3 linked regions of the Lepisosteus oculatus genome follow. The protein of the gene in region 1 interacts with the protein of each later gene in a biochemical or structural test. Links are inferred from orthologs where the notes say so. Each region holds a gene or a part of one and is shown in the gene's direction. Other genes may lie near its edges.

The links.
Region 2: the proteins of mitogen-activated protein kinase 1-like (region 1) and tyrosine-protein phosphatase non-receptor type 7 form a complex in vitro, tested with the Homo sapiens proteins (3 studies listed by BioGRID, with this or other methods). The link is inferred for Lepisosteus oculatus from reciprocal best matches to the Homo sapiens genes MAPK3 and PTPN7.
Region 3: of the proteins of mitogen-activated protein kinase 1-like (region 1) and elk1, one has a biochemical effect on the other in vitro, tested with the Homo sapiens proteins (6 studies listed by BioGRID and IntAct, with this or other methods). The link is inferred for Lepisosteus oculatus from reciprocal best matches to the Homo sapiens genes MAPK3 and ELK1.

Annotation. Positions count from the first base shown.
Region 1 is NC_090699.1:2,585,356-2,589,100, forward strand, and holds the start of mitogen-activated protein kinase 1-like, read left to right. Parts: upstream 1-1,212; 5' UTR 1,213-1,577; coding exon 1,578-1,792; intron 1,793-3,745.
Region 2 is NC_090700.1:40,442,133-40,445,877, reverse strand, and holds the start of tyrosine-protein phosphatase non-receptor type 7, read left to right. Parts: upstream 1-1,103; 5' UTR 1,104-1,272; intron 1,273-1,468; 5' UTR 1,469-1,707; intron 1,708-3,361; exon of another isoform or gene 3,362-3,745. UniProt on the Homo sapiens protein: Protein phosphatase that acts preferentially on tyrosine-phosphorylated MAPK1. Plays a role in the regulation of T and B-lymphocyte development and signal transduction.
Region 3 is NC_090697.1:76,536,893-76,540,637, reverse strand, and holds the start of elk1 (ETS domain-containing protein Elk-1), read left to right. Parts: upstream 1-985; 5' UTR 986-1,382; coding exon 1,383-1,407; intron 1,408-1,416; exon of another isoform or gene 1,417-1,705; intron 1,706-1,934; exon of another isoform or gene 1,935-3,015; intron 3,016-3,745. UniProt on the Homo sapiens protein: Transcription factor that binds to purine-rich DNA sequences. Forms a ternary complex with SRF and the ETS and SRF motifs of the serum response element (SRE) on the promoter region of immediate early genes such as FOS and IER2.

The DNA of each region.
Region 1 (3,745 bases):
CTCATTGTGAGTGGCACACCTGGCAGCCCCACTGGAGCCCAGCAGGGGGAGCCTGGCCAGTACCTGGAGGGGAGACTCCTGGGAGAGGGGTGAGTGGGGCCAGCAGGGGGCGCTCTCTCCCTGCGCTCTGTGTGGTCCTGATGCCCCAGTCCAGTGATGGTGAGCTATAAAAGAGTAGGGCTGGACACTGACGGGGACACTGGACTGGAAGAAGGCGCCGTCCTTCAGATGAGACGTGAAACCGGGGTCCTGACTCTCTGTGCTCATGAACAATCCCGGGGTGTCTCTATAAAAGAGTCGGGGTGTTACCCCGGTGTCCCCCTGGTCTTGACCAGTCCTGGCCTCCTAGTAACCCCTAATGACCTCGGACCTGTCCTCCTCGCCCTGAGAGCTGCTGTGTGTGAGCGCACTGGTGGGGCTCCACACTGCTGCTGCTGGAGGGGATCCCCACCACCAGCGGGGCGTCCAGAAAGGCGCTATATAAGTATAAGGCTATTATTAATGACCTCTGACCTGTCCTCCTCGCCCTGAGAGCTGCTGTGTGTGAGCGCACTGGTGGGGCTCCACACTGCTGCTGCTGGAGGGGATCCCCACCACCAGCGGGGCGTCCAGAAAGGCGCTATATAAGTATAAGGCTATTATTAATGACCTCTGACCTGTCCTCATCACTCTGAGAGCTGCTGTGTGGGGAGAATACTGGAACATCACCCAGGTGGGGGTACACACTGGTGGGGGGTGGGGGGGATCCCCATGACCTGTAAAGCGCTCTGCGTGTGTGTGTCCAGAAACGCGCTGCACGAGTGTGAGGAATGTATTCATTCTGATGAAATTCAGAAATGAGCTAGAATCCGCGTGCCCAGCTCTGGCGCCCACGCGTGATTTCGCACGATTAGCACCTTCGTTTCATTTCATGTGCATTTTTTTAAACAACAACAACAACAACAAATCTTTCAATGCCGTGAAATATACAACACAGATTTTTTTTTCAACTATATATATATGTGTGTGTCTGTTTTTGCGGTTTCTGCTCAGACTCCGGACGCCCCGGGCGAGCGGGCGTTCACCGTCCATCTCTGCCTCAACCTGTCGGGACGTGACTCGTGTTTTTTTTTTTTGTTCGGTGTTGTGCTTCTCGAAACGGGGTTCCCAAGCCAGGATGGCAACGAGCCCACGCCCACGCCTCCGCCCACTCCCACTCCCACTCTCACTCCCACGGACACGCAGTCGTGCAGAGCCAGCGAGCGTCGTCGGGGCCGCGCACTGCCTCGGCGGCAGCGCGCATCTCGCCAGGGGGGAGAGGAGGAGGAGGAAGAGGAGGAGGAGAGAGAGAGAAGGAGGCCGGGCGTCCTGTCTCTGCGCTCAGGCCGGCGAGGCCTCGTCTCTCTGCGCGCCTCCCCCTCCGCCAGTGAGAAACGCGCTCGCCCACCCCCGTCCCCGGCTCCCTGTTCTTGTGCGAAACGGGGCTTAATCCGCACTCCGGTCCCTCCTCCTCCTCCTCTCTTAGCTCCTCCCTGTCACAGTGACACAAACTCGCCGTGTAAACACTCGCACCTCGGCCTCGCAACAACACGGAAGTCATGGCGGACGCGACAGCCACCGCAGCGGCGGCCGCAGCCTCGGGCTCGAGTGGCGCCCCAGCCGGGGCCGGGGGCGCCGCCGCGCCGGCCGCCGGCTCCACGGGGGCCGGGGGCTCCAAGCCGGGCCTGGAGTCGGTGAAGGGGCAGAATTTCGACGTGGGGCCCCGCTACACGGACCTGCAGTACATCGGGGAGGGCGCGTACGGGATGGTCTGGTAAGGGCGTCCTTCTCGCTCGCGTTTCTGCAGCCGGAAAGGCGCTGCCATCGCGGTTATGGGGGGGAGTGTGGTGTTGTGCACGGCGGGTGGCGATCAGGGTGTCTTGGGGCAGGTTCCCACGCGTGTTTCGCCTCCGGCTTTGAGCACCGCACCCCACAGCGGGAGAGGGGTGTCTTGCGGGGGTGCGTGTCGGAGCAGACCAGGCGTGGCAGTGCGGGGTACCGGGAGGAAGAGACAGAGACGGACCGACGGAGCGTAGCCTGTAGTGCTACCTGTACCTGTACCTGCCGGGTACTGGTACAGACAACACAGTCACACTGTCAGTGTGTGTGTATTAACCCCTCTCTCTCTCAGTGCAGTGTTAATGTACTGGAGTGTCCAGTCAGTGTGTGTGTATTAACCCCTCTCTCTCTCAGTGCAGTGTTAATGTACTGGAGTGTCCAGTCAGTGTGTCTGTATTAACCCCTCTCTCTCTCAGTGCAGTGTTAATGTACTGGAGTGTCCAGTCAGTGTGTCTGTATTAACCCCTCTCTCTCTCAGTGCAGTGTTAATGTACTGGAGTGTCCAGTCAGTGTGTCTGTATGAACCCCTCTCTCTCTCAGTGCAGTGTTAATGTACTGGGGTGTCCAGTCAGTGTGTGTGTATTAACCCCTCTCTCTCTCTCTCAGTGCAGTGTTAATGTACTGGAGTGTCCAGTCAGTGTGTGTGTATTAACCTCTCTCTCTCAGTGCAGTGTTAATGTACTGGAGTGTCCAGTCAGTGTGTGTGTATTAACCTCTCTCTCTCAGTGCAGTGTTAATGTACTGGAGTGTCCAGTCAGTGTGTCTGTATTAACCCCTCTCTCTCTCAGTGCAGTGTTAATGTACTGGAGTGTCCAGTCAGTGTGTCTGTATAAACCCCTCTCTCTCTCAGTGCAGTGTTAATGTACTGGAGTGTCCAGTCAGTGTGTCTGTATGAACCCCCCTCTCTCTCAGTGCAGTGTAAATGTACTGGAGTGTCCAGTCGGTGTGTGTGTATGAACCCCTCTCTCTCTCTCAGTGCAGTGTTAATGTACTGGAGTGTCCAGTCAGTGTGTGTGTATGAACCCCTCTCTCTCTCTCAGTGCAGTGTTAATGTACTGGAGTGTCCAGTCAGTGTGTGTGTATTAACCCCTCTCTCTCTCTCAGTGCAGTGTTAATGTACTGGAGTGTCCAGTCAGTGTGTGTGTATTAACCCCTCTCTCTCTCAGTGCAGTGTTAATGTACTGGAGTGTCCAGTCAGTGTGAGTGTACTAACCCCTCTCTCTCTCAGTGCAGTGTTAATGTACTGGAGTGTCCAGTCGGTGTGTCTGTATTAACCCCTCTCTCTCTCAGTGCAGTGTTAATGTACTGGAGTGTCCAGTCGGTGTGTGTGTATGAACCCCTCTCTCTCTCTCTGTGTGTTTCTCGCGAGACTGAGTGAGTGAGTGGGCGGAGCTTCGGTGGGTTTGATCGTGTGGCGGTGTTTTCTTCACTGGGTTTGTGTTTTTCTGTCTTTTTTGGGGAAAAGCGGGGTTTATTTTCTCATCATGGCCGGTTCTGGAGGCTCTGATCCTCCAGACCTCTCCTTTGAGAAACTAACTCGCCGCCATGGTGTGAAAATCTCCCCTGCGGAGTTCTGTCCGCTTGAGAGGTGCGTTCTTGCGGTCGGGGAGGTCGTGGGCTGCAGGAACATCAGGTCCGCTTCCCGCATGAGTGGAGGTATAGTCATTTTCTTGCAGTCTACCGATTTGGCAAACACCCTGGTGGAGAAGGGAGTTGTCCTGGACGGCACCTTCACCCCGGTACTGCCTCTCGCGGCCCCGGCTCGAAAGATCACCCTCTCCAACGTGCCTCCGTTCATGAGGAACGAGCTGCTGGAGAGGGAACTGTCCCGATACGGACAGGTGGTCTCTCCGATCAGGAGGGTCCCTCTGGGCTGCAGGGCTCCGCA
Region 2 (3,745 bases), on another chromosome or scaffold:
CTCTGATTTTCACAGCAGCAGTAACCCCAGCAGGCTGTCTGCACGGCGTGCTCTCGGGGCCAGCACGAGCTCTTCTGGTGCACGACAAGAGAAGTGCTGATTGGGAAGGTTTGGTAAATTTCTCTCTTTTTTTCTCTTTTGCTGGGCTCTGACATTCAGTGCGGCGATCAGATAAAAGGGGAAGGTGTCCTGCACCCACGCACCCTATCACACTCCCAGTGATCTGACACCCACTCAGTCAGTTACTCACTCACACCCACTTGCTCTGTGTCACACACACACTCTGGTCAGGACTGTCTGTGAGCAACAAGTGGTGCCTTCTCCCTGGCCTCTCGCTGCCAAGCCAGCTGGGCGTGGGGAGCGCAGCCGACCGGAGATCTTGCCCCAGGTTCGAGAGAAGTCCAAGTCACCGGAGGGAATGCCCCTGCATTCCCAGGCATTGTGGCACAGCACGGACCCCAACAGCCCCAACCGTGCAAAGTGGGATGGCAAAGCTTTCACACACTTGTGCCACACTTTGGCTCTGTGTACCATAGAGCTCAGTGCACAGAGAGCTGTAGTGAAATGAGGGCGACAGAACAAAATCATCGCAAAGCAAATAAGTGACGGTGCAGACAGGGTGTGATCAAGGGAAAAGACTGGGAGGAGTGGGCTCATGTACAGGAGGTGCTGTGTGTCCTGGGCAGGCCTGTCCCCTTGTGTGCTTTCTGGTAGTCGAGCGGGCCTGTAACTGGGGGTCTCCTGCTTTTCTGGAGCACCGGTTCCACAGAGAGGCTTTAAAACAGTGCGGCACATTCTAGGGGTGGGAGAGAGTTAATTATGTTTCATTTTCCTGCTCCTAATTACTCAGTTGGAAGTGGTTTTCTTAACTGCTGGGGGGGGGCCCTGACAGTAGAGGACCCCTGCAGCTTTCAGTGCAGTTTTCTGGCTCCCTGTGTGCCCAGTGCCCCGCAGGGCCCTGGCAGGCTGCAGGCAGCCCTCAGCTGCGGGCGGGTGAGGTGGCAGCGCAGAGCCGGCTGGCAGAACGTGGGCCGGAGCGTGTGTGGGAGGCACAGGGAGGAAGCAGCTGAGAGGCGAACCAGAAGAGGCTCTCATCAGATCAGCAGCTTCCTGAACACACAGCCTGCGTTTTTTTTCAACTGCACACTCATTTCGCGCTGAGGCTCAGCTCCGGTGCCACCGAGTCGGAGCTCTCCTGGCTCGCAGCTCGCTCGCGAAGAGGATCGAGGGATGAGGGGTGCCATGGGGAGCCCCTGACTGGCCAGCCTTCAGGTGAGTGCGGAGCTGGAGCAGGACTGGCTGGTTCCCGGCGGGTCTGAGCTGTAACCCTGCTGTCTGTGGCTCAGGGCAGCTCACACAGCCCAGGTCTCCTCTGGCTTTTAGACGGGCTGCTGTATGGGGAGGGGAGAGGGGGGCTGCACGGCGCGACACTGGTTTCTGATGCGACTCTGTTTTGGCACTCCCCTAGCCCGGAGCGGACGGAGCTCCCTGCCGCTCGCGTGTGTCCTGGTGGGAAAGGGTGGATGAGAAGGAGGGTATTGAGGCCCGACCGGACCGGACCCTGGGCGCGGAGCAGGAGCAGCAGACGCAGAGCAGCTGGGGAGAAGTTGAGCAAAGAGAAAGACGCTGAAGAGGCAAACTTGGCTTTCAAGTGGCGTGGGGAAAACCACCAGGGTCTGGGACGACAGCAGGAGCTCCCGGGACAAGGTAAGGTGGAGAAGAGGTCTATTCTGAACACTGACGCTGTGCTGTGGTAGTTCATGTTTACTGTCTAGTAATTGCGATGTGACTACAGCAGTGTAAGGACTTACCAGCGAGCAATGAAAAATCAAGGTGAAAGAGGAGAGGAATCGAGGCCAGGACATTTCTCCCCTCAGGCAGCAGCTGGTGTTGCAGAAGATGCCGCATGTTTAGATGGCTCTGCAGACACACGGTCCTGGTGCAAAACTGCACGATTTTGCAGGCATTCCTCCTTTGGGAGGCAGTAAGACAAGCCCCTGCTCTTGCTGCGCCTCGGAGATGAAGACCTCTGTGCAGGAGTCGCTCCGAAGATTTACCTTGCCCAGAGGTCAGACATCACCTCAGAACTTTTTAAGTGTAATAATGAAAATGTCCTGAATGATGACATTGTTAATGCCGAAGGCAGCCCATGGAGACGGCAGGGGGTGTGGAGGGGCACAGCTCTCTGTCACTGGGACTGAGCCGATTAACCCCACCAGGGACAGTCAGGGACTGACGTTGGGGCGGCTTGTATCTGGAAGAAGTGGGGTTCAGTTCCAGCGACAGGTACCTTTCTGTATGGAGGCTGCATGGTCTTCGTATGTGTGTTTGAGGTCTACACTTACATTTCACAGTCCTTCATTAGTCAGGCACTTTTAACCCAAGCAGCTTACAGCCAATTTCTCCTGGCGTTCCTCATCTTCAGCCAAAACGTTCGGCTTGCGAACCACAGGAGAAAACTACCTGGACATGTCCAGACGATTATAACACCGCTAACATCTGTACAACGCCTCTATCATGTCCCCAGGCCAGAGCAATGGAACCTGCTGCTTTTCATTCCAGCGGAGCTCGTTACTTGGTTGAATTCTTGACTGAATTAGCAACTCGCTTGATTTGGATTGTTTGCAAGTTGCTGATCTACTTAGGAACTGGAGACCACGGTCACATATGAAATGCAATAGTTAACAAACAACTTAAAAAAGTTAAAAGACAGCTTCCAGCATGTTCCTGACGTGAAGACAACGACGAGCTCCAGTCAGTCCTGTGTTATTAGGGCTCGGGGGTGTAACTCTGAGCTCAGCTGGAACTGGACCCTGCAGGTGTGGAGCTGCCCAGGACTGGGGATGGGACTGCTGGGACAAAGCGGACAGATGAACTGAAATTCAGCCAGGGCCTCAGGATCCATACCCTCTCTCTTTCCGGTTGCCTCTGCAGGCAGGCAGGTACCTGGGTTAGAAATCATATGGCAGTTCTGGAGGGAGCCCAGCCCTGTCAGCGGTCAGGACAGAGGTCTGGGCTCACAGGCTCAGTTACAGTACAGGGCCCAGGCAGGAAAGAGCCTGTGCTTAACAGGATGTTACACTGGTGTCGCAATGTTGCCACTGACTGTACAAGAAGAGGTAGAGCTTCCATCCAAAAGCCTCAAAAGTCCAATTTCTCTGTCTCTTGCTTTCCTGCCTGCTGTGCTCGCACCTGGGCAGAACCCCTGTGCTGGTACTAGTACTGCGCTGACGATGGCACCTTTTCCCAGCTGTTCTCAAAATGGATTTTAGCAGAAAGAGAGATATAGGCACCGGCTCACACCATGCATGACATTTAACTTACAGATCTTTTATGTACCGTTTGGCTTTGCTAGGGTTTGCTTTGCATCCCTGTTTTGCGTTCTGTCGCGTGCTTTGCCTGCAGCCACGTGAGGGTCCGTTCCTGAGCGCGCCAGCCCTGCCTGTGGCTCGGGGCTCCGCACGCGGCTGGGAGAGCGAACTCTGCGCTCGGGTTTTCTCGCGGGGGTCAGAAAGCGCTCAGAAACACCGGACTCGCAAGACTGTACTAACAGCTCATGTATCAGTGCTGTTGGCACGGGGATAAATCATTTGACCTCCAAGGTTTGGAGGAATGGTTAGGATTCCGAATGTAGTCTTGTAAAAGGACTGGGCTGTTTCCATCTCCGGAGCGAGGCGCAGGTGCCGGCTCGTCCCCAGTGCAGAGACAGTGATGTCAGTAAGAGGAGTGTGTTTGCTGTTACTTC
Region 3 (3,745 bases), on another chromosome or scaffold:
AAGTGCTTTGAGTGGAGTGTCCAGAAAAGCGCTATATAAGTGTAAGCAATTATTATTATTATTATTATTATTAATAACACTATAAATGTATGAGGCTTATGCGTTTATTTTTATCTCATCTTTATTTGTTTGAACTTTAGGCTTTATATCATAAGACTCGTGTCACCTCACGCAATTTATAGAGAAAGCGTTGCAGTCTGTGGTTGCACTTGGAGTAATTAATAATTGCCGACACTTTACAGGTAATGGGGACCCCCTCCACCACCACCACCAGTGTGCAGCCCCCACATTGTGAAATATAACGTAACATTTCGTATTTCACTTCTAAAATACAACATATGCCAAGGTTCTGACGTCGTCGTTGTGTCGCTTCAGCGAGGCGAACACCGTTAACCCCCGCGACCTGCAGTTCAGCGTAATTGGCATTTCATTTCTGTGCGGGAATGTTTTGTGAACGGATTCGCGATCGAAGCGAAAGGTATCGACGAACTAGACGGAGCAGCAGCTCGCGGGGGTGACGGTGTCTTTGGCTGCTGCCCCCCCCCTCCTTTTTTTTTTACTGGAAATAGCTGACGTCACGGGTTCTGTGACGCTGACATCTCACTCTGCAGGCGCTCGCCGGCGACAGAGGGGGGCGGGGGCGCCGAGAGGCGGCGAGCGCAGCCGAGGCGTTTGTGAAACAGGAAGCGAGGAACGCAGCCGCGGAGGTTTACAGTACGGGAGGACTGGAGACGCTTGAGGTAGACGGAGAGAGAGAGAGAGGGAGGGAGGCGCCGCTGCTGCTTGCTTGCGGCCGACACGCGTGTCATGGACTGCCGAGAGCAAGCGCCGTTACAGCAGGCGGAGTACCCGGAGACATGTTGCGCCTAGGCGGCGGGGAGTTGTGACCTCGCTTCGCGGAGCGACAGCAGGACCCGAGCGAGCAGCGGAGGAGAGCGGCTGGGAAGGGGGGCGGTGCTGGTGGTGTTGGGGTTGGTGTGTTGTGGGGGGGCTGGGGGGAGAGAGAGAGAGAGACGGGGGTCTCCTACTCCGAGCCTCGCCGATTCCAAAGACCCTCACCTGCCAGCGCTCGGCGTCACGGCGACCGGGCAGGAGGACATGGGAGGCCAGCATGCGCCGTGGCTGCTTGTAGGACTGTGAAGCCGTCCAAAACAAAAACCCAAACACACACATCAGTCAAGTCCGGAGGTGAAATATGGGGGTGGCTCGGGTCTTTGTCGGAGCCCTGTCATTACATAATTAGAGCCCCGGATCGGGCTGGACGATCGCCCGTTGGCACCCGCCACCCTCTCGCCCCCAGACCGACTTGTGGACGTCGCTCTCCCGGCCGGGTGTTCTCCTCTCCCTCCAGCATGAGCGTCAGGACCCCCGCCGCCTGAGACATGGACTCGAACCCCCTGCTATGTGGTAAGTGCGCCCGCGGAGCGCCGCGCTTGGACGGGCGGCCGTGGTGTCGCGGCGCCTGCAGGCTTGGCTACACCGTATCGACCGCCCCAGCTAGCGCGCTGCGCCGCGGCCGGGCTTGGCGTGTGTCCCGGCGGAGTGTCATCGCCCAGCGTGTGCGCGGGTGCCTTCCTGGCCGTTAATCGAGAGGTCTGTTGCCGTGATTCCCTTGCAAGCATCGCCGCGCAGACGTCGGCAGGATAAACGAGAGTTACGCGCGTATAAACGCCAACACCCGCTTTGGAAACTTGCTGCTCTCCTGGTAGGTTAGATCTCGAGGAGCGCACTGGCACCAAAACTTTTTTTTTCCCCCTGTCAAGGGCTTGGATGCGAGTTGTAGCTGCTACTTTCAAATGTCACACTGTTTGTTTTTTTTTACTCGAGTCGCGCATCGGTTTTTCTAGCAGAACGGTTTTTCAGTGTCGGAGCAAAATGCCGTGGGTTGCACGGTTTTTTTTTAAAGCTTTGTTTTATTTATTTTTTTAAAAAAGAAAGACTGCGCAGGAGACGAGACCATCGACAGCCAGTCTAGCGCCCCCCGCCTCCGGCGCGCGCGTTACAGTTCCAGAGCTCGTGGATGTCGAAGCAGTCGAGAGTCAAAAGTCATTTACCCGGCCAGCAGTGTCCAGAGACTGGCCTGTGCAGCTGAAGACACCACGTTTTCCCCTAAAAGCGAACATAAATAACGTATAATGATTATTTCCGATGTCTCTATATTTTAAATTCCCTCCTAAATTCACCTGAACACACACCTAAGTAAACAATTTCCCAATGCTCTGAGAGGTCGGTGTGCAATCACTTAATTTTCATGGCTGTGGTTCAAACCCCGCCGCTGGTTTCTAATGACCAGTTTCGGCTTGTTGACGTTTTGTGCGCCCGTGTGTCTCCGAGCGTGTGTACGGGCTGAGGGCGGTAATGCAGCGTCCAAGTCCGATTACAACCCTAATACCGCGGAGACGTCCTTTAAGATGCTTATCTCCCCGAACCTGCTTGGAGAATTGAAAAAGGTGAACTTCCCTTCCTGTCCTTTTCCCCAAAATGACAAATAATTGTGTGGTAACTCAGAGGGATACAAAGCATCGCGCTCTCTCCCAAGCTTGCTCTAAGCTAAGATGTTTTTTCAGTTTCAGTTTAAAATATAAAGGCTGTGCTCTGATTTTTTTTTAATTGTTCTGACAACAGAAGTGTTTTTCAAAATCCACTCACCATGTGGTAACACTGTTGTAGGTATTATTTTATTATATTTGATATATAATATTTGGTTGTTAATATAATTTGAGTAATTCCATATTATACCAGTCATACCACATTATGGCCTCTCTTTCTGTCCCCTGCTCCCGCCTCTCACTCCTCCTCCCTCCCAACCTTTGTTCTCCCGCTACTTTACCTTTGCCTACTGCCCTGTCTCTCTCACACCTGAAGAAGGCTCCACGGCCGAAAAGTTGTGTTCTCTTTCTTCTTTTTTTCAGCATGGAATAAACCTATTACTTGTTCCTTTGCAGCCTACGCATGCTGACGCAGCTACCCACCTGAACTAATACCAAATTATATAATAAAAACATGTAATATTTATTCTATGTATTATTTTGTTGTCTTTGCTGCTGTTGTTGCTGTTGGCTTGCTCTTGTCAAGCAAGAGGCTGACACAAAAGCTTTTCCTCTTGCGAAGCGTAGACGGGCCTGAACCGTCGAGCCCCGAAGGAGTTCCACTTCCACAGCACAGCTGCGTCTCTTACAGGGGCAATTCAGGGCGAAATATGCCACTCAAAGTACCGACAGCTGTGTCCCACCCAGGATTTGAACCCGCAGTCTTCCAGTTACACATCCCCCGGTGCTGAGGGGCCTGCTTGTTTTCATTGCAGATGGGCTCTGCATTACTGCATCAGACTCTTGATTGGCCTGACAGTTGCATCCACCGGACACCTTCAGTAGTCCTCTGCTCCTAATCATACTGGGGAGCAAGAGCGTCTCCTTGCAGTTCATAAGTTAAACCCATGAGTTAAAACATCTCAGAAAAAGAAAATTCTGCAAAGGCACCCTTCAGGGGAATGTTTACAGTTGAACTCATTAATTCAGTTAAGGAAAGATATTCTGGGAGGAACACCAGCAGGCTGGAGCAGGGTTGGGGGACCCTGGTTTGCCTGCTCTGTATAAATCTCTACTCTCCCTGCATCTGCTGGTGAAAACCCCACTGGCTCAGTGCTCATCTTCTTTGGGAGTCTTAAACGTGTGAGTGTGTAAAGACCTGGGTGACTGTATCAGTGTTACTTTGACAGATCGGTTTATCAGTGGATCAATTCATT